Linked DNA regions of Danio rerio. The protein of the gene in region 3 purifies or fractionates together with the protein of the main gene of each other region. This does not show direct contact. Links are inferred from orthologs where the notes say so. Each region holds a gene or a part of one and is shown on either strand. Other genes may lie near its edges.

Region 1 (4,947 bases), on a different chromosome or scaffold from region 3:
AGACCACCTCTTTTAGGCGGTCTCGGGTACGGTTCACGGGTGCACACTCGAGTTCAGAAGACTTGTTTACACTAGCTAAACGTACCGTACACTGACATCAAACGAACCCGGGTGCGGACCAAAAGTGTTAGTGTGAAAGCACCCTAAATCGCAATTTAGTCTAAAGTATGCCCAAAGCCAAGCATAGAATTAGTCACTGACTCTTCTAAATGCCATTTACTCACATTATATTTACTTTACCATGTATTGTTCACTTATGAAGTGGTAATCTTAATCCATTTGGTCTTCTCCCACTTAATCAAAGGGCACAGATAAAAAAAGACAGCAATATCATGCTTATAGGCACATTGATAAATATATATTTAGACCATTTTAAGTATTACCTATTTAGTAAATCAGATTTTTATAAAAGCAAAACATTTAAATCTTTAAGCTGTTTCAAGCACTCTACTCCAAAAACGAAGCATTTTCCAAATCTTAAAAACATTACACAAAAAATAAATAAATAAACCAAGCATTTTGAAAGATTTCAAGCACCCGTACAAAGCCTGACAAGACCTTCTTTAGAACTTAACAAGAGCAAAATAAGATGTAAAAGTGCTAACCTTTCTGGACCGCTGGGCTGTTCTGAACACTGGTGGCCTTGGAGGAGGGTTTGGATGAGTCTCCATCCGAGTCTTTGCTTATGTCCACTGAAACCACCACATCCTTCATACCTGAAGAATCATCTTTAGAGACAATGGAAAGTTAAGCATTACTTTGAGGTCAAGGCAAATTTAGATCTATCATGAAAAGCAAGTCTTAATGAACTAATTACATGGACGATTAGATCTGCCTAAACATTGAAGAAATCACGCATGTCCAGCTATGAGCATCATGTTTTCCCTCTAAAAAGGCTTAAGAGTTCACATACTTTGCTCTAAATTCTCTCTCACACAAACGGAGTAAAATTTCGACCTGCTGAGACAAAGATTTTCACCTGAAGCTAGGCTGCAGGGCTGCACTAAGCAGAAGCATTTGTTAAACTCTTTATTTTTTACAAGTTACGTGCTCATGCTGAAGTTAAATGTACAGGACTATACCTTGACCTTGAATGTGAGAAATATCAAGTCCCTCTCGCAGTCTGAGAATGACAACACCATACTGAAAATCAAACGCATCACTACAAACAAACAAACAAACAAACAAACAAAACATTAGTTGCAATTTACACAAACATGTAAAAGGTGTATATTAGCATAAAGCTATATAACTTTGTAAAAATAATTTATGTGGTTAATATTAGTTTCTAAATTGTTGTATTTTCTACAATTGAGAATAAACATCAGTATATATTTTTCTGTTAAAAGCAATGCTATTAAAAACACTAGATTAGAACAAATTATTCATGGCTTAAATGTTTTTTTTTAAATGTCTAGAAACAAACAAACAAACAAACAAACAAACAAACAAACAAACAAACAAACAAAAAAAAAAAAAAAAAAAAAAAAAAAAAAAAACTTACTGTTGCAACAGCTTATCTTTTAGATCAGTGGTGCTCAACCCTGCTCCTGGAGATCGACCTTCCAGCAAAGTTCAGCTCAAACCCTGATCAAACACACCTGAACAGCACTTGATAATTACAGGCAGGTGTGTTTAATATGGGTTGCAACTGAAATCTGCAGGTAGGTCGACAGGAACAGGGTTGGTCACGCCTGATTTAGATGAAGGAACAATTATCTACCATTAAGAAAGTGTACATTTTTGTACCATAACTATTTAATGGCGCTACAGCCCTAGCAACACTACTCACTACTTTTTTTTGAAAGCATATAGCATATTGTTTTGTCCAAATTTCACCTTGAATCTCATGTTTCATATATAAATACCAGATTTCAGGCAAATAAACTACAATCACCAGCCACTTTATTAGGTACATCTGTCCAACTGCAAATTTCTAATCAGCCAATCACATGTCAGAAACTCAATGCATTTAGGCATGTAGACATGGTCAAGACGATCTGCTGCAGTTCAAACTGAGCATCAGAATGGGGAACTTTAAACAGTTGTTGGTGCAAGATGGGCTGATCTGAGTATTTCAGAAACTGCAGATCTACTGGAATTAACGGACAACCATCTCTAGGGTTTACAGAGAATAGTCCAAAAGGGAAAACATCCAGTGAGCAGCAGTTCTGTGGGTGCAAATGCCTTGTTGATGCCAGAGGTCAGAGGAGAATGGCCAGACTGGTTCAAACTGTTTGAAAGGCAACAGCAACTTAAATAAGCAATCGTTACAACCGAAGTATAAAGAAGAGCATCTCTGAATGCACAAAACATCAAACCTTGAGGCGGATGGGCTACAGCAGCAGAGGACCACACCGGGTGCCACTCCTGTCAGCTAAGAACAGGAAACTGAGTCTAAAATTTGCACAGGTTCACCAAAATTGGACAACAGAAGATTGGAGAAACGTTGACTTGTTTGATGAGTCTCGATTACTGCTGCAACATTCGGATGGTAGGGTCAGAATTTGGCAATAACATGAAAGCATGGATCTATCCTGGCTTGTATCAACGGTTCTGGCTGGCTGGCGGTGTAATGGTGTGGGGAATTTTTTTTGGCACACTTTGGGCCCCTTAGTACCAATTGAGCATTGTGTCAACACCACAGCCTACCTGAGTATCGTTGCTGACTAAGTTCATCCCTTTATGACCACAGTGTACACATCTTCTGATGGCACCTTACAGCAGGATAACGCACCATGTCATACACCGCGAATCATCGCAGATGGGTTTCTTGAACATGACAATGAGTTCACTGTACTTAAATGGCCTCCACAGTCACCAGACCTCAATCCAATAAAGCACCTTTTGGGATGTGGTGAAACCACAACTGCGTGACGATATCATATCAATATGGACCAAAATCTCTGAGGAATATTTCTAGTACCTTTTTTATTCTACGCCATGAAGGATTAATGCAGTACTGAAGGCAAAAGGTAATCCAACCCGGTACTAGTAAGGTACCTAATAATGTAGGCGGTGACTGTATATACCCAACAGCACAACAAAACATAATGGCACACTAATATAGGATTATATGCATTGATAGTGGATTGATTTCAAACTAAAAAATTAAACCTACTGTATTAGGTTTATGTAGGTCTCAACCTCCTTTATGTCTCCAGTGCGCCAGTCATTTTTGAAACCAATAACCAGAGTATTGGGCCTCAATCTACCCAGTCCAGCAGCCTGTAAAAACACAAACACACACACTCGTAATTAAATACAAACTTCTTTCATTAACCAGACTTTCCAAGGGTGTTAAGTTTTTTTTTACTGAACTCAACCCATACTCTAATAGAAAATATTGTATATTTTCATAAAACATTTCATGATTATCTAATCCTTTTGTATTACAGCGATATTTAGCATGACCAATAGTGTAGAGTGGAATTGTGGGGCCAGTTTTGTCCACATCAATGTAGGTCAAATCAACATGCACATACCAGAATTAAATGTTTCAAAATAGGCTGAAACAGAATTCAGCTGTGAGCAGATTATGGGTCACGTGCACACCTCACACTAAGCAGCAAGTAAAGAATCAAAAAGAAAGAAAAGCCCAGTGTTAGGCTAAATGGTGCAAAGGAGCCTTTGAAATTCCAGTGACTTTGCAAAAATTGACATGAAGAATATGTGAGCCAATTTTAGAGAGAATTAAACAAAACCTTCAGTAAGAGCAAACACATTTCTAAATTAACCAGTGAAAAAGATCTGGGCATTACAGCTTTTATGAACTGGACAATTGAAAAAGTGAATGAATTAAAAACAGATCACACACACATACACACACCTGCAGCATGTACTGGGTTCCTTGACGGAGGTCTTCAGCAACGACACATGTGTAAAAGGCCTTGGAGTTGTTGTTAAGGAGCCACCTCTGGTAACGCAACATATCGCTGTTTAGCTCTTTGAAGTTGGGCCGTCGAGAACTCTAAATGAGTGCAGAAACAAAAGAAAAATGAATAAATGAGTTTATGCCATAGGAACATGAGTGGATAATAAGCTCATGGTTAGTTTACGGAAATGTTTTAAGTGCCAGGGGAGACTTCTACTGATAATTCTGATTATCACGCTCCACACAGACCCCCAAATAAGAGACTGCTTTATTACACACAGCTATAATAACTGTCTCCACAGAGTGAAAGCAAGTTTTATTATTCCAAGAACATGTTCCAATAGGAACGAGAGCTGCCATAAACAATCCATTCAAGCATGGATTGCACAACATTTTACTTGCTCCAAAAACACACATACAACATGTTCTCTGTGTATTAACAAGTTTAAAATGTTACAGTAGGAAAGCCGGACGAAGGGATTTTTTTTGTAGAAGTTTGCACTATTGATTTGTCGAACAGATAAGCAATGAAATCACCCAGTGTGTGACATATTACCATTTATAAGCTCCATTCAAAGGAAAATACCATGCTGAATGAGCTAGAGCATGCATTTCACTGCTCATTTACAAGACAACTAAAACCACTAATCCAGAGAGAAGTTATATTTCATTAGCGCTCGCTAACAAAAACCACAAATCAAACTTTAAAGCCAAGTGAAACAGTCCCGTCATTCCCCAAAACAAAGGCATGTCAAACAACTGAAACACATGACCAACAACACTTTAACTAGGAAATTAGGGCTGTAGATGGTCCTTGTGGTTACTGTGGTGTTCAAGATGTGGAAAATGTGACTATTACAATTATTCTATTTATATTAGTAGTATTATTATGTTGTTATTATCTGGATCCAAATTCATTCTACTGCTATCCTCAGCTCAAGCTATTTTCAAAAGTGCTTTACTAAGATTCAAAACCAACTAATGACCCATTTCCACTGAGCCATACGGTACAGTACGGAACGCTTTTATGGCTGTTTCCACTGTCAAAAGGCGTACCGAACCGAACCACTTTT
Region 2 (4,861 bases), on a different chromosome or scaffold from region 3:
GTACTAACATTAAATAATTTATATTAAGTAAAAAACAAACTTTAAAACTTTAAAATGTTTATTAACAAAATGAACAGTAAGACAATAAGAAAATTCCCTAAATCAAAATAAATCTATGAGCTTTATATATTAAATAAATTGCTTTACGTGGCCTTAAAGGTGTAAATCATTTCCCAAGAGAAAAAAATTAAATAAAATCTTACTATATTACAAAAACTTAGTTGCTTCTACAGTAACATTTAATAGTGGCTGCATCTCCTCAACAATAAAAGCGATAAATTTTTATTTAGTATAATTAATTGTTTTTCTTGGAGAACGTGAACTAATGTCAGTCATTTGTTAAGCTGGAGGTATGCGATGTCGTGTTTCTTGCAGTTGTCAAGAGTTTTACTTATAATCTACACTTGAACCACTTCTCTGCTTCGATGAAAAAAAAACAAGACTCTATTGCAAAAAAATGTAAGTCTCCTGTTTCTAAGTGTCTGGAGTGATTATAGCCAATTCGCGGATGAATCGTTTGTTTTTAACTGGATCTTCTAAGTGAACTGGTCGAATCAGTTCACCAAAGGGAAGTGAGTCGGCATGAAACGGTTGCGTCTTCAGTAGACAAAGTACTTACTTTTTTAACATGCCGGATACCCCTTCTGACTCTAACTAAATCAATATCCTGAGTTATTCAGTAACTAGAACAGTACACTGACTCATCTGCTTTGAAAAAAGAGATCCGATGATAATGATTGTGAGCCAACTGTTTGTTCCATCGCAGCACGCTCTCTCACTGAGTATGTAATTTAACCTAATGTAATTTTATTCCACAATATATATTTTTAAAAGCCAAGCAAGGTAAAATGTAATAAAAATAACATTGCTTATTTTTAAAAGTAATGCATTACTTCATTAGTTACTTAAAAAGTTATACTATTATGTAATATGTTACCCCCAACACTGCTCATCAGACACTATAAAAATGCTAAATGTTGTCCCAACACAAATCGATTAAGTTAACTTAATTGTTTATACAAATTTAAGCAGATTTAACGACATAAAACAATTCAGTTTTCCATGAAAACCTCTAGAATTGTGTTGTTTCAGTTCATTTTAAATAAGTAGTTAAGAACAAGCAGCAAAAATCTTTTATTTTATTCTTTTTTTTCTTTTTCTTTTTTTTTTAGGGTAAGCATTATAAAGAGTGATGCCATGCTTGGCCTTACAACTTATGATCAAAATCTTTAAAAACAAGCTAGTAGGAATCTAATGCCTGATAAAAACATCATCTAAAAAGTGAGAAAAGCTTGTAATGCCACAGGTTTAGTACCGAAAATACAAATGTAATCAAACTGTTAAGGACACAATTATTATAGATCTGACTATTTAAAAATATATCAAGTCTGTTGCACTGCATGTTTCTCAATTGCTTCACTTATGATTCTGTATGGGCTACTTGTGTGCATCTGAAAAAGAGTAGCCAATCAAAAGAGTTGTCTCTTTTTAGACATCAACAATATTTAAAAACAAGCCAATTAGTATCTATTAATAAATTAGAATTGATGAAGTAACAAAAGAACGCACCATACAGTGCAATAGTGCCAAAATTACCTTAGAAGTAAAATGAAAAATAGCACAAAAACAAGACATGCTCAAAAATACAATTTTAAATACATTTGAAGAGGAGTGGTCTAACCTTGCTGAGCATTAATCACTTAAAAAGTCTGAATAAATATTCAATTTAAATTGGTGATGTGGTATAACCCATAGTAAACAAATCTAAAACACTTTCGATTTGAGAGTGTCATTTGTGGACTGTGTAATATAATTATCCACTATATTCTGTGGTATAGTGGACAAAGGAAGTCAAAAAAATCTAAATTGAGAATAAATGTACCTATCAAGTCCATTAATGGAGTCAATAAACCTCATTTCCAGCCATTTCATACAGTACGAAATATTTTGTATCTTGTTTTCAGACAGATTTTCTTGCAAAAAAAAAAAAAAATCAATAGTAAGGCCAGGTCCAGCAAACGCATGGGACTTCAAGTTTTCGAGTCAAATATTTTAAAATCATACCTCATAATTAACAAAATGTTTGGCACGTGATTTGTGGGTTGAGGAATGAGTGAAGGTGAGAGTATGACTGTTTAAGGCTGGCGATGAGTTAAGGAGGTCATGAGTTACTCATAGACGCTCTATGGCTCGCTGGTTTTGGCTTCTGTTTGTCGTACTTCACAGACACGATGAGGAAGATGAGGAGTGTGATTCCCTGGATGGCGGCCAGGAGGAAGAAGTAATAATTCAGCCTGCACTCATTGATGTTACCTGCAGATAGAAGAAACAAGAGAGAAAAGGGGATCATTTGGATATCAAATTTCAGTAGCGGATGATTTTGACATGATTTACAGCACAGCAATCACAACACCACAACACTAGCTGAAACTAAATTCAAGCATATTGTTTTAGTGCTTCAGAAGGTCTCAATTGTTTTGACAGGAGAGTGTTGATCAATAATTGCAATTTATAACTAAGGGTGTATTCTAGTCTAGTTAGATTTGATTGAACTCAAGTTCCTTTTCCCCTTTGGTGTGGATCTTTTGGGTCAGTTGTGAATAGAGAATGGAAGTGTGTTCTGGAAATTTGAGCCACAGGAGCCTGCATTTCATTGAACCCCATGGGTTTATTGTATCATATATACACTTATTTGTATTGTTTCAGCATGGATATCGCAATGTGAAAATTCACAATAGTCACATCATATGATTTGTGTCACGATCACCAGCGATCTAACCATGGATCGCTGGAGAACATTTACTTGGACTACAATCCTGTCTCATATGAACTACAAGTCCTGTCATGCAACACACACACACACCTGCTCCAAGTCTCTATTGATTAGATTCACACAGTTGATGCTGCTCATGGACTGATCACACTACACTTACAGTTGAGGTCAGAATTATTAGCCGCCCTGAATTATTAGACCCCTTGTTTATTTTTTCCCCAATTTCTGTTTAACGGAGAGAATACTTTTGACACATTTCTGAACATAATAGTTTTGAAAACTCATTTTCTAATATTGGATTTTTTTATCTTTGCCATGATGACAGTGGATAATATTTTATTAAATATTTTTTAAAGATACTTCTATACAGTTTAAAGTGATATTTAAAGGTTTAACTAGGTTAATTAGGTTAACTAGGCGGGTTACGGTAATTAGTCAAGTTATTGTATAATGATGGTTTGTTCTGTTGACTATCAAAAGAAAATTAAGCTTAAAAGGGCTAATAATTTTGTCACTAAAATAGTGTTTAAAAAATAAAAACGACTTTTATTCTAGCCGAAATAAAATAAATAACACCTTTTCCAGAAGAAAAAAGTATTTTCAGACATACTATTAAAATTTCCTTGCTCTGTTCAACATCGTTTGGAAAATATTGTAAAAAGAAAAGAAAAAAAATCAAAGGGGGCTAATAATTCTGACTTCAACTGTATATATATATATATATATATATATATATATATATATATATATATATATATATATATATATATATATATATATATATATAGCTCACTTTGAGACTCTCATTGCTGAGTCTTGTTTAGCTGCAATGTGAACATTCTGACATGTTTTCTTTGCCTTGCCGTGTTTGATCCACGCTTTGTTTTGTTTGTTTATTCCTGTCTGCTTCCTGCCTTTTGACCATCTGTCTGTTTTATGACTATGACTCTGGATTTCTTGTATACATCTGTCTGTCTGAGTGTTGACCCTTGCTTGCCTGAGAAATAAACCTGCATTTGGATCTGCACTTTCCTTGTCAGTGTCCTACTCACATTACAGTTTGCAAATGTTGATCCAGTATTATAATTTATCAATCGCATGCGTTTTTGAGGCCTGTGATTATATGATGATTTTTAAAGCATTCAGACATAAATAATTGCACTGTTAGTAACTTTAATAACAATTAATTGTATCTAATTATTTTTAATTTTACTGTGATAGGGCTCTATTTTGACGGTCCATGCGCAGAGCACAAAACGCAGGGCGCAAATGCTTTCAGGGCGTGTCAGGACGCATTTTTGCTAATTTAAGAACGGGAAATCTGCCTTGTGTCGTGGCGCATAGTCTAAAAGGGTTGAGTTTATTTTCTTAATGAGTTATAGGTGTGTTTTGAGAATAAACTAATTAGAGTCTCATCTCCCATTCTCTTTAAGAGCCAGCTGCGTCACGCCATAAGCGCATTCGCTATTTACAGGACGTAAAGTAAGTCTAAGTGGAAAAAAATGAGCATTTCACAAGCAAACAGTAAACAGTTTTTAAACAGAAAACTGTTAAACAGAGCATCTACTGCGTGAGAATGAGAGATAATGGAACTACTTTCACTTTCGCTCTTGGATAGGGAAACCTTTACGCACAGACATCAATTAGTCTATAAATAAATACTTTTGTTTGTTAAGCGCAAATATTCATTTCCAAACTATTTCTAAATTCAGTTCTAATTTCCAGCAAACAAATAAATGAACAACATTAACAAAGTGTGTTCAAAAACCTGAGTTATATCCTAAAACACATGATGTGCTCCTTATCTAAATCTCCTTATATAAATCTAAGCTTGTTTTTAATAAAACAAATATAAATATGGATATAATAAATAATACTGCTAATAATAATAACATTATACAAAAGCAAATTGTTATGAATGAACTGAAAAAGCCTCCCGAGACGAAGAAGACATAAAAGCATTTATTTTTAATATTTATGTAGGCTAGAAAATAATATGCTTTGTAACATTTTAATCCTTTATATTTATGTCCTATATCTATTCTTATTATATCCTATATATATCCTTAATATTTACATTTTTTCATA
Region 3 (5,548 bases):
GATCTAGGTGTTAAATGTCTCTGACTGGATGTTAACTGGGGTCTGCGATGGCGTCCTCCTCCTGTGACTGCTTGAGCTGTTCATTGTGCTCAATAATATGGAGGTCTATGTAGTGGCTGAAAAACAAGAAGACAAGCTTTTGAGATCTCCATAAGACGTGAATGAGTTTCAGATCTGCAGGTGTAAAGTGAGGAGACCCCAGCAGGACAGTCCCCCAGACCTCAAGAACCGAACAGACAACCCTGAAAGCAACGTGGATGTCACCAACATTTTGACCAAACCAACTCCAGCAGAGCCGTCACCAAACCAAACCCATCACAAGCAGACTTACACGTGCAAACCCATTTATAGACTGGAGTTTAACTCACCATTCCACCTGGAGCTGCAGGTCCTCCGTATGGTCCCATGGGCCCGGGACCGTAGCCTCCTGGTGGGCCTGGGTGAGCAGGAAAGCCTCCTCCTGGTTGTCCCCAAGATCCTGGTGGTACTGGAGGAAACATTCCTCCTCCATATCCTGGACCTCCATCTGGTGGAAAGGCACCAGGGCCTCCGGGGCCGTACATGCCAGGTCCGGATGGACCTGGTGGGTAAGGCACGTTTGGATTGGGACCCTGTGGAGCCCCAGGTGGGGAGGGGAATTGTCCAGGAACAGGATATGGCATGGGTGCCCCACCTGGTGGGAACTGACCTGGCATAGAGGGGAACTGTCCTGGAGCTCCAGGGTTAGGAGGGAACTGTCCTGGTACGCCCGGTCCTGGTGGGTATCCGCCTGGGGCAGCTGGGGCTCCAGGGAACTGGCCTGGGGCAGCAGGGGCTCCAGGGAACTGGCCTGGGGCTCCTGGGCCAGGAGGAAAGGATCCAGGGGCAGATGGCCAGGTCTGGGGGAAGCCAGCAGGTTGGACAGGGCCTCCAGAAGGTGGGAAATGAGGGCCGCCAGGGGCTGCACCAGGCCAGCCAGGATTAGTGGGTGGGGGAGCTCCATTTCCAGGAGCTGATGGATTGGTGTGCTTATTTTTTGATGCTTCACTAGGAACATCATCTGGGATTGCGTCTGCAAGCTACAGGAGAATAATAGGAGAAATAACACATGAGCTAGGCATTTTATCAGAAAGACTTCTGCTCTGTTATTATCATTGAAAAGACAAAGACTAACTAGGGCAAACAGTAGAGTCCAAAAGTCTGAGAACAGATTTAAAGAGCCCATATTATACATGAAATAGGGTCATATCTTGGTTGTAAGGGTCTCCAACAACAGTCTAATATGCATGCAAAGTCAAAAAACACTTTCATGGTCTTATAATCTGCTTTTATTTTTACCTAATTATCCCAGCGACTCCTGTATGAATCGTCCAGTGATTCATTTGTTCCCAAACCCCTCCTTAGCGCGAAGCTAATCTGCGCTGATTGGACCGATGACAGTCTGTCACGATTGGTCGACTGCCTTCAGTCAGAGAATGAAATGCCTAATAGCTAATCAGCAATATAAAAGTAATCACAGTTCATACGCGCTCCATAGTGTAGGCGTGGATTTAAGCTGCCACACACACACACACACAAACACCTCTGGACGACAACGCTCCCGCTTCCGCCCGCACCCGCCAGGTTTTAGCCTGAACCCGACCGCTCCCGCTTATATTTAGAATTTCTTGTCCCGGTGCCCGAACCGCCCCGTTTTCTGCCTGCCGCGCCCGATCCCGCTAAAGAGCGGGGGAGAACATAACCGAAAATCACCCAGCTAAACAGTCCAGAGACAGCCAGACAGAGCTCTCTCTCTCTCTCATACGCGCGCACTAACACATACACACAAGCGCCAAGCAGACACACAGGCAGGCAAAGCTCTGTCTCATTCGCATAGCAATATCCACGATATTGCTAGACAGCCCGCTCCCGTCCCAAATTAAACCTGTTACCGACCGCTCCCGCGATTGATTCGGAAATTTGCAGACCTCTACCACGGAGCTCCGTAAACAAACAGCACGCGTCACGTTTTTAACGTGACTTTGCACGCGATAAGAGAATATAGCCAGTTAACCTGATACAGTACACGCGGTTACAAGTAACAAATCACAACTAAATACATTTGCAAGCTAGAGTCAACGAGGCAACTTTAATCGCACGTACTTACATTTGAGAAATGGAGGAAGAAACTCATCCTGACGTCCATTAGTAAGTTACTCTTTACTGATCCTTACTTTAACAAACGCAGATGAAGTATTCTTTGTAGCCTGTAGTTTCCAGAAGTTTCCAACTGCTTGGTTATAATGCTGAGGTTTCATCTCTGGGTAGAGAATCGATAATGTCCATCTGCAGTGTGACTTCAATCGACCGGCATGTTTGTGTGCGTGTGTTTGTGGGTGTGTGTGTCTGGGTTTCTGCGTAGAGGGCGGGGCCTCAGGTTTGAAATCTCCCGGGTTTGCGCGTGCACGTGAATAACTTGGTTTTCGGTTCGTACGTCATGGCGAAACACCTAATGAATCGGTATCAAGGCGACTCGTTTGAAGCATTATGAGTCGACTCTTTTATAGATGAATCAACCGTTTTAAACACTGTATTCTTACAGATTTAAGCCTTAGCTGGATACTTCACTTCACTTAGAGCTGTGTTACACACTACATGGAGGGGAATTTTCAAAAACCCATAATATGGGCTCTTTAAGATATGGAAAATGAAAACAAAATAAACCTGAAAATTGAATTTTTGAAAAACAAAAATAAACATGTTCTGAATTGAATTGTTCTGGAAACACAAACTTTGAGACAAGGAAAGTTAGAAATGTGTTTCCACTGAAGCACAAACATGATTTTTGAATCATTCTCAAATCATACTGGACAAGCACAAACATCAGGCCTCGATTATAACTGGATTCTACAGCAGGTGTGCATCTGTCATTTGTGCAAAATGACAAATCAAATACAAATATCTTTTTATAGTTTGAATTAGGATGAACAGCCCTTTTGTGAATTTATCTTTTTTATATTTATCAACTTATGTTTAACAGAACAAGCACATTTTCACAGTATTTCCTAATATATAATTTTCTTCCTAATGTATATATTATCTCCTTCAGTTTGGCCTGAATTAAAGTTTTTCAATATTATTATATTTTAGTCAATATTATAACCCACTTAATAACAAAACACTATGTGCTGAATAAAGAATATGGTCTACATTCACCTTTGGGGAAGTATAACGCACTCTACAGTCATTTATACTAGTGGAATCACGGATAAAAAAAAACACACAAAGTTTCTTATTGTACTAACACAGGAGGAAATGCATTCCAAACTGCTGAAAGTGAATTGTTCAACAGGATTATTCATTAACAGTTAAAAAGAAAGGAAACTTACCGAAAAGTCTGCCATGGCCTAAAAGAAAAACAAACGGTGACAATTAATGACATGCAATAACATACAAACCTCATTCTGTCATAAATCTTGAACGTGTAGCCAACTAATAATGAAAACGCTATTAATAGAGAGTAGCGTCACAGGAGCCAACACATTCTCGAAGGCGACTATTTTAGCCACTATACTTTAAACAAATCTCTTATTTAGGTTGAAATCAGGCTCCATTCCAAATAAACATACACTAATGTGCGGCAGGACTACACACATGCGCGTTTTGAGTGAAATGTGTGCAGTTTTGTGGTAATCAGCACCTCGCCTGGATCGGGGCCTGCGGTCCGAGGATTCGGGCTTTTGAGAAGTACCAGGTCCCGTCGCCCGAAAAGATCCGAAAGTCAGAATTACTAAACTCTATACAGGAAGTGAGGTGATAACTGGAACATTGAGGCTTTTCAACGGCGTGTTTAACAACATCGTGAGCAACAAAGTATATGGATCAGACGGCACACGCTGTAGTCAAAGGCAAGAAACAATCTACTGTGTTTATAGATCAGATATGAGCGTTATGCACGCGCACGTTCCCCGATGGGCGTGTCATCTGAGGGATGGGCTGGCTCATTTGCGCATGCGCGGAGTTTGCTAGAGGAGGGGGTGTTTTCTGATCTGGGACGCTTCAAATAAAACAACCATTCCAGTAAAACGACAAATCAAGGTTGACAAAATGTTTACTATTAAACTAGGAGGCCAAACATGTGTCAAATATACATATATAAAATAATCTTATTAATGTGTGGGGCATACCCAAATACAATTCAAAACATTTGTTTAATTACACTAAAGTTTGGGATCAAACATTGTTTAATTTCATCTATTAAATTATTTTGTTTTATATTTACTTCAATTAATTTATTAAGCCTTTAAGAACACTTAAATAACCAATGGTTGCATTTTCTAAAATGTGCTATATATTTGTATATATATTTCACTAAAATCTTATTTTACGTTACTTTGATTTTGAATTAAAACGTCAAAAACGATTTCACATTTAATGTGACAAGCAATATTTGAATACATTAAATGTATTCATTTGGCGCAGGATTTTCTCAACCCTGCAGGTACTAGGGTGATAGGGGTATATGGAAATTTATTGAAAAAGCACATAAACAATTATAGTTATAATAAATATATAAATAATAATCCTCAATAAATACTTTAAAGTAAAAATAAGAATATTAAATTATTAAAATAAATATATAAGCAAATGCCCTTCCAGCTGAAGCACAGCAGTGAGAAACACCCGTACACTCTGGCATTCACAAACTCATAAACTAAGTTTATTCAATTCACCTAGCACATGCCTTTGTACTGTGGGGAAAACTGGAGCACCCAGAATAATCCCATGCAAACATGGGGAGAACATGCAAACTCCACATAGAAATGTCAACTGGCCCAGCCGGGACTCAAACCAGCAACCTTCTTGCTGTGAGGTGACAGTGCTAACCACTGAGCCACCATGTCATCATATATATATACATCAGGGGTGTCCAAACTCGGTCCTGGAGGATCGGTGTCCTGCTGAGTTTAGCTTCAACTTGCTTAAACACAACTACCCATTAAGTTTCTAGTATCTAGTAAGAGCTTGATTAACTGGTTCAGGTGTGTTTGATTAGGGTTGGAGCTCAACCCTCTAGGACACTAGCCCTCCAGGACCCCTCTGATAAACATGAATTTATTTTTATTTTTTTTGCAAGCCTCTTATTGATGTGTGAGATATACCCAAATACAATTCAAAGTTTGGTAAAAAAAATGGTTTGATTATTTAGCAAAAAAAAAAAAAAAAAAAAAAATTTTAATTAATTAAAAAAAAATGTGTATATATATATATATATATATATATATATATATATATATATATATATATATATATATATATATATATATATATATGTGTGTGTTAAAAACTGTTTCATTGTAAATGTGACATTTATAAATGACTTTTAAGAAACAATATTTGAATACATTGAATGTATTAGCTTAGGGCATTATATGATATATATACATACTAATCCTTAATAAATACTTTAATAATACTTTAATTTAAATAAAAATGAGATTTAATACACGGTAAAACCTAACAGTCAACTTTATCAAATGAAGAGTGTACTTAACTCAAAATTGACTGAAAGTTAATTCTACTCATTTGA
Region 4 (4,113 bases), on a different chromosome or scaffold from region 3:
AGTTGGTCAAAATTAGCCTTAGTGTGATTTTCTTGTTCTTTTTGAAATGTATCCACATTACCACCATTGTGCAGCGTCCACTTGGATGATGTAAAAGCAGCCACAGGACAATGGCGCCAGTGCGCTCACCACACACCAGCTATTGGTGGAGTGGAGAAACTGTGATAGAGCCAATTTGGTGGATGGGGATGATTGGGAGGCCATGATGGGTAAGAACCAGTGAAGGGAATTTGGCCAGGACATTGAGGTTACACCCCTACTCTTTATGAGAAGTGGCATGGGATTTTTAATAACACAGGGAGACAGGACTCTGATTTAACTCATTCGAAGGACAGCGCTCAATGACAGTACAGTGTCCCCTTCAATATAATGGGGCATTAGGACTCACAGACCGCAGATTGAGTGCTCCTTGCTGGCCTCACTAGCACCACTTCCAAAAGCAGCCTAGTTTCCCCATGCTGTCTCCCATCCAGGTACTGACCAGGCTCAGCCCTGTTTAGCTTCAGTGAGTAACCAGTCTTGGGCTGCAGAGTGATATAGCTGTTTGATACAATTTATCAAAATTCTGTGCTTAGTTATTTAATTTCGATATTTATATTTATTTTAGCCCAAAACAGGTTTTGTTTGGCCCAGATTTAACTAAATTTAATTTAGTTTTTTGGTTTTAAGACCATCGTTATGTTTTATGTAAATATTTTATTCATTTATATAATTTTTTCTTAACAAAAGGCATTGTTATTTATAATTATTCTGTTGCTTGGGGTTTTCTGAATAGATTCTATAGGTTTTATTAGACACAACTGTCATATTTTGCTGTTGTTTTGTGCCTTTTTTTGATTGTAAAGTTTAACCCGTTTCTAACAGCACAGGCTAAGCACACCTTACTTCAATTATCAGACAATAAAACAAAGTATGGAACTCAATATAAATCCTAGCCTTACTAATTAATGATTCACAACCCACAACCCCGACATGGTGGCGCAGTAGGTAGCACTGTCGCCTCACAGCAAAAAGGTTACTGGTTCAAGCCTCAACTGGGTCAGTTGGCGTTTCTGTGTGGAGTTTGCACGTTCTCAACGCGTTCGCGTGGGTTTCCTCCGGGTGCTCCAGTTTCCCCCACAATCCAAAGACATGCGGTACAGGTGAATTGGGTAGGCTAAATTGTCCGTAGTGTATGAGTGTGAATGAGCTTGTATGGCTGTTTCTTAGAGTTGGGTTGCAGCTGGAAGGGCATCCGCTGCGTAAAACATATACTTGATAAGTTGGCGGTTCATTCCGCTGTGGCGACCCCAGATTAATAAAGGGACTAAGCCGAAAAGAAAATGAATGAAAGAATGAACCCAAAACCTTTTTATCATGCACATAAAACAACTCAAATTATCAGGCCAACAATCAAACATTTCTAAAAAAAAAAAAAAAAACACACAAACCTGAGCAAATCCCACAAAAAACAGTTGATGGTTGTTCATCCCAAGGGCAGGCAGACTGGCCTCCTCGCCGTTCTTCTTGATCCAGTTTACATAAGCCTGCAAAGCAAGCGTGATAACATTAGTCCACCAATAACTCTGCATGCTGAGATGCCAGATAAACAGAGCCCTCGTGTCCACGCTTATTTTCCTCTCCATCAGAGAGGTCAACGCAGGCTCTTCTCCGGGCCATATGCTTTGTGCATCTGCTCCGTAACCTATGACTTTTCAGCCGACGGAAAGAATCCGAGCTGCTGGAGGAACAGCGGCCCATTTGGAGCCACCTGTTGCCCCGCAAAGGCTTTTCAGCGAGTCGGGATCACTACAGCCCCCCAAATACTATCAAAGCCGTCAATGAGGGAAATATAGAGAACGTAATGCCTTTGGTCTCGGATTCTCACACGCCATACGCAGAAGCTGTTTTCGTGTTATGGAAAGTAACCACTGGCGTCTGTATGATGGACACAACAGATCTGTCGATTGAATTAGATAGATTAAAAGTAGATTTTTGTTCCACAACAAACCTTGTAAGCCGCATTCAGGCCTCCGTTGTCAGCGATGTTTTCTCCCAAAGTGTGTTTTCCATTCAGGGGTTCATTGTTAATACTGTAGTTGCTGTATTGCTCCACCATGCACTGGGTCTGGTGTTGAAAAGCTTCCACTGACGAATTTTGCCACCATTTTGCAAGATTTCCATCCTTGTCATATTTGCGTCCTGTAAAATATTAGTTTTTTTAAAATAACACACATATTCACATTTCAACATCAACAAATTTCTGTTATAATAGTAAGATGATTTAAAAGGATAAACATTTCAAAGAAAAACTATTCACAGCTATTCCAGAGCCAAACAGTTGAGTTCTACCTTTTTTAATTTCATTTAGCCGATCTCTGGTTCTAGCAGGATCACTTTTAGCTTAGCTTAGCATAAATCATTGAATTGGATTAGACCATTAGCATCTACCTCAAAAATACCAGATATTAAAAAATTGTCATATTTAAAGCTTACTACAGAATAGTCAAACTTTAAAAAGCAATGTTAATCGAAATTATTTGGTCATCTTTAAGTGAGATGCTAATAGTCTAATGTGATTTAATTATCTATGCTAAGCTAAACTAAGCTAAAAATGTTGCCACCAAACCCAAAGATTGGCTAAATGGATAATTCACATGAAAATGAAAATGTATTTGCTATTTACTCATCCTCATGTGGTTTTAAATCCTTATAGGTTTGTTTTTTTTTGTCTTTCGAACCCTAATAAGACATTTTGCAGAAATCTGAAAACCGGTAACAATTGACTTGTTAAAAATAAAATACTATGGAAGTCAATGGCTACAGGTTTCTACCTTTCTTCAAAATATCTTCTATGTTCAACAGAAAAAAAATTAAACAGGTTTGGAACAAGTGAGTAAATGATATTATTTTTTTTTAAAATAAATTTGTGAACTATTCTTTAGTATTTATTAACATTTTGATAAAGATATATAAAAAAAAAGGTTCACATAAAAATTCCCAAACCAGTTTCCCAAAAATTGGATAACTTTTCTTCCATTTCTTTCTATATATATATGATAATAAAATAGTGGAACACTTTCTTTCTTATATTACAGCAACTGATTAAGTCTTACACACTGCAAATCTGAAATTAGATGAAATATTAAAGGTTGGGACAAGTTAGCAAATAATGGCATACATATACACATATACACACACACACACCACACAGTTGAAGTCAGAATTATTAGCCCCCCTGAATTAATTGCTCCCCTGTTTATTTCCCCCAATTTCTGTTTAATAAGAGAGCAGATTTTTTTCAACACATTTCTAAACATAATAGTTTTAATAACTCATCTCTAATAACTGTTTTTTTATCCTGGCCATCCATGATGACAGTAAATAATATTTGACTAGATATTTTTCAAGACACTTCTATACAGCTTAAAGTGACATTTAAAGCCTTAATTAGGTTAATTAGGTTAACTAGGCAGGTTAGGGTAATTAGGGTAAAAATCAGAGTTATTCTACCACATATGAAATGAGAACATTTCATTTTAAACTTAAGGTATGGTAGTTTAGAGAAAAAACTAAAATTATGTTTAACCATAAGCTGTATTTCAGAGAAACCTCCTTTGTATAACTCTGTTTGCTGCATTTCTCACCACAAAAGTCACAGCAGAGGCATTAGACGATTCTCTAGGTAAGAATGTTGTTGCTTAAACTTTAAATATGCAGTATTGTTTAAATAAAATTAGCACCTATATGTATGATAATGAAAGAGAGCAAGACTATATTTCTTCTATCACAACAACTGACTGAGTCTCACACAGCAGATCTGAAATAAGGAATAATAAATGACCTTGATCATCAAAAGCATGGGTGAGTTCGTGCCCCATAACCACACCTATCCCACCGAAATTCATGGCTCTAAAAAACAAGAGAATGATGTGTTTATGATGACATATTTGCTGAAATTGACGAGGCTTAATAAGCAGGTGAGGGTTTTGTTAATGGAAAACAATCTTACTTTGGCCAAGCGTGGTTGTAAAAGGGAGCCTGGAAAATGCCTGCAGGAAGAACCATCTCATTCTTTGTCGGGTTGTAGTAGGCATTGACAGTAGGTGGAGTCATACTCCATCTGTACACAAA

Evidence for each region.
Region 1: the proteins of lgals3a (region 3) and slc12a2 purify together in Homo sapiens (affinity purification with mass spectrometry; 3 studies listed by BioGRID and IntAct, counting the BioPlex papers as one, with this or other methods). This does not show direct contact. The link is inferred for Danio rerio from reciprocal best matches to the Homo sapiens genes LGALS3 and SLC12A2.
Region 2: the proteins of lgals3a (region 3) and slc15a4 purify together in Homo sapiens (affinity purification with mass spectrometry; 3 studies listed by BioGRID and IntAct, counting the BioPlex papers as one, with this or other methods). This does not show direct contact. The link is inferred for Danio rerio from reciprocal best matches to the Homo sapiens genes LGALS3 and SLC15A4.
Region 4: the proteins of lgals3a (region 3) and ece1 purify together in Homo sapiens (affinity purification with mass spectrometry; 3 studies listed by BioGRID and IntAct, counting the BioPlex papers as one, with this or other methods). This does not show direct contact. The link is inferred for Danio rerio from reciprocal best matches to the Homo sapiens genes LGALS3 and ECE1.

Annotation. Positions count from the first base shown.
Region 1 is NC_133185.1:18,568,951-18,573,897, reverse strand, and holds part of slc12a2 (solute carrier family 12 member 2), read right to left. Parts: intron 3,971-4,947; coding exon 3,830-3,970; intron 3,229-3,829; coding exon 3,122-3,228; intron 1,163-3,121; coding exon 1,089-1,162; coding exon of another isoform or gene 1,083-1,088; intron 729-1,082; coding exon 606-728; intron 1-605. UniProt on the Homo sapiens protein: Cation-chloride cotransporter which mediates the electroneutral transport of chloride, potassium and/or sodium ions across the membrane. Plays a vital role in the regulation of ionic balance and cell volume.
Region 2 is NC_133183.1:42,789,836-42,794,696, forward strand, and holds the end of slc15a4 (solute carrier family 15 member 4), read right to left. Parts: intron 2,314-4,861; coding exon 2,162-2,313; 3' UTR 1,127-2,161; downstream 1-1,126. UniProt on the Homo sapiens protein: Proton-coupled amino-acid transporter that mediates the transmembrane transport of L-histidine and some di- and tripeptides from inside the lysosome to the cytosol, and plays a key role in innate immune response.
Region 3 is NC_133188.1:40,044,595-40,050,142, forward strand, and holds the start of lgals3a (galectin-3), read right to left. Parts: upstream 3,836-5,548; 5' UTR 3,659-3,835; intron 3,366-3,658; 5' UTR 3,363-3,365; coding exon 3,348-3,362; intron 1,059-3,347; coding exon 369-1,058; intron 117-368; coding exon of another isoform or gene 90-116; exon of another isoform or gene 1-89. UniProt on the Homo sapiens protein: Galactose-specific lectin which binds IgE. May mediate with the alpha-3, beta-1 integrin the stimulation by CSPG4 of endothelial cells migration.
Region 4 is NC_133186.1:30,031,304-30,035,416, forward strand, and holds part of ece1 (endothelin-converting enzyme 1), read right to left. Parts: intron 4,103-4,113; coding exon 3,992-4,102; intron 3,892-3,991; coding exon 3,824-3,891; intron 2,182-3,823; coding exon 1,991-2,181; intron 1,527-1,990; coding exon 1,431-1,526; intron 1-1,430. UniProt on the Homo sapiens protein: Converts big endothelin-1 to endothelin-1.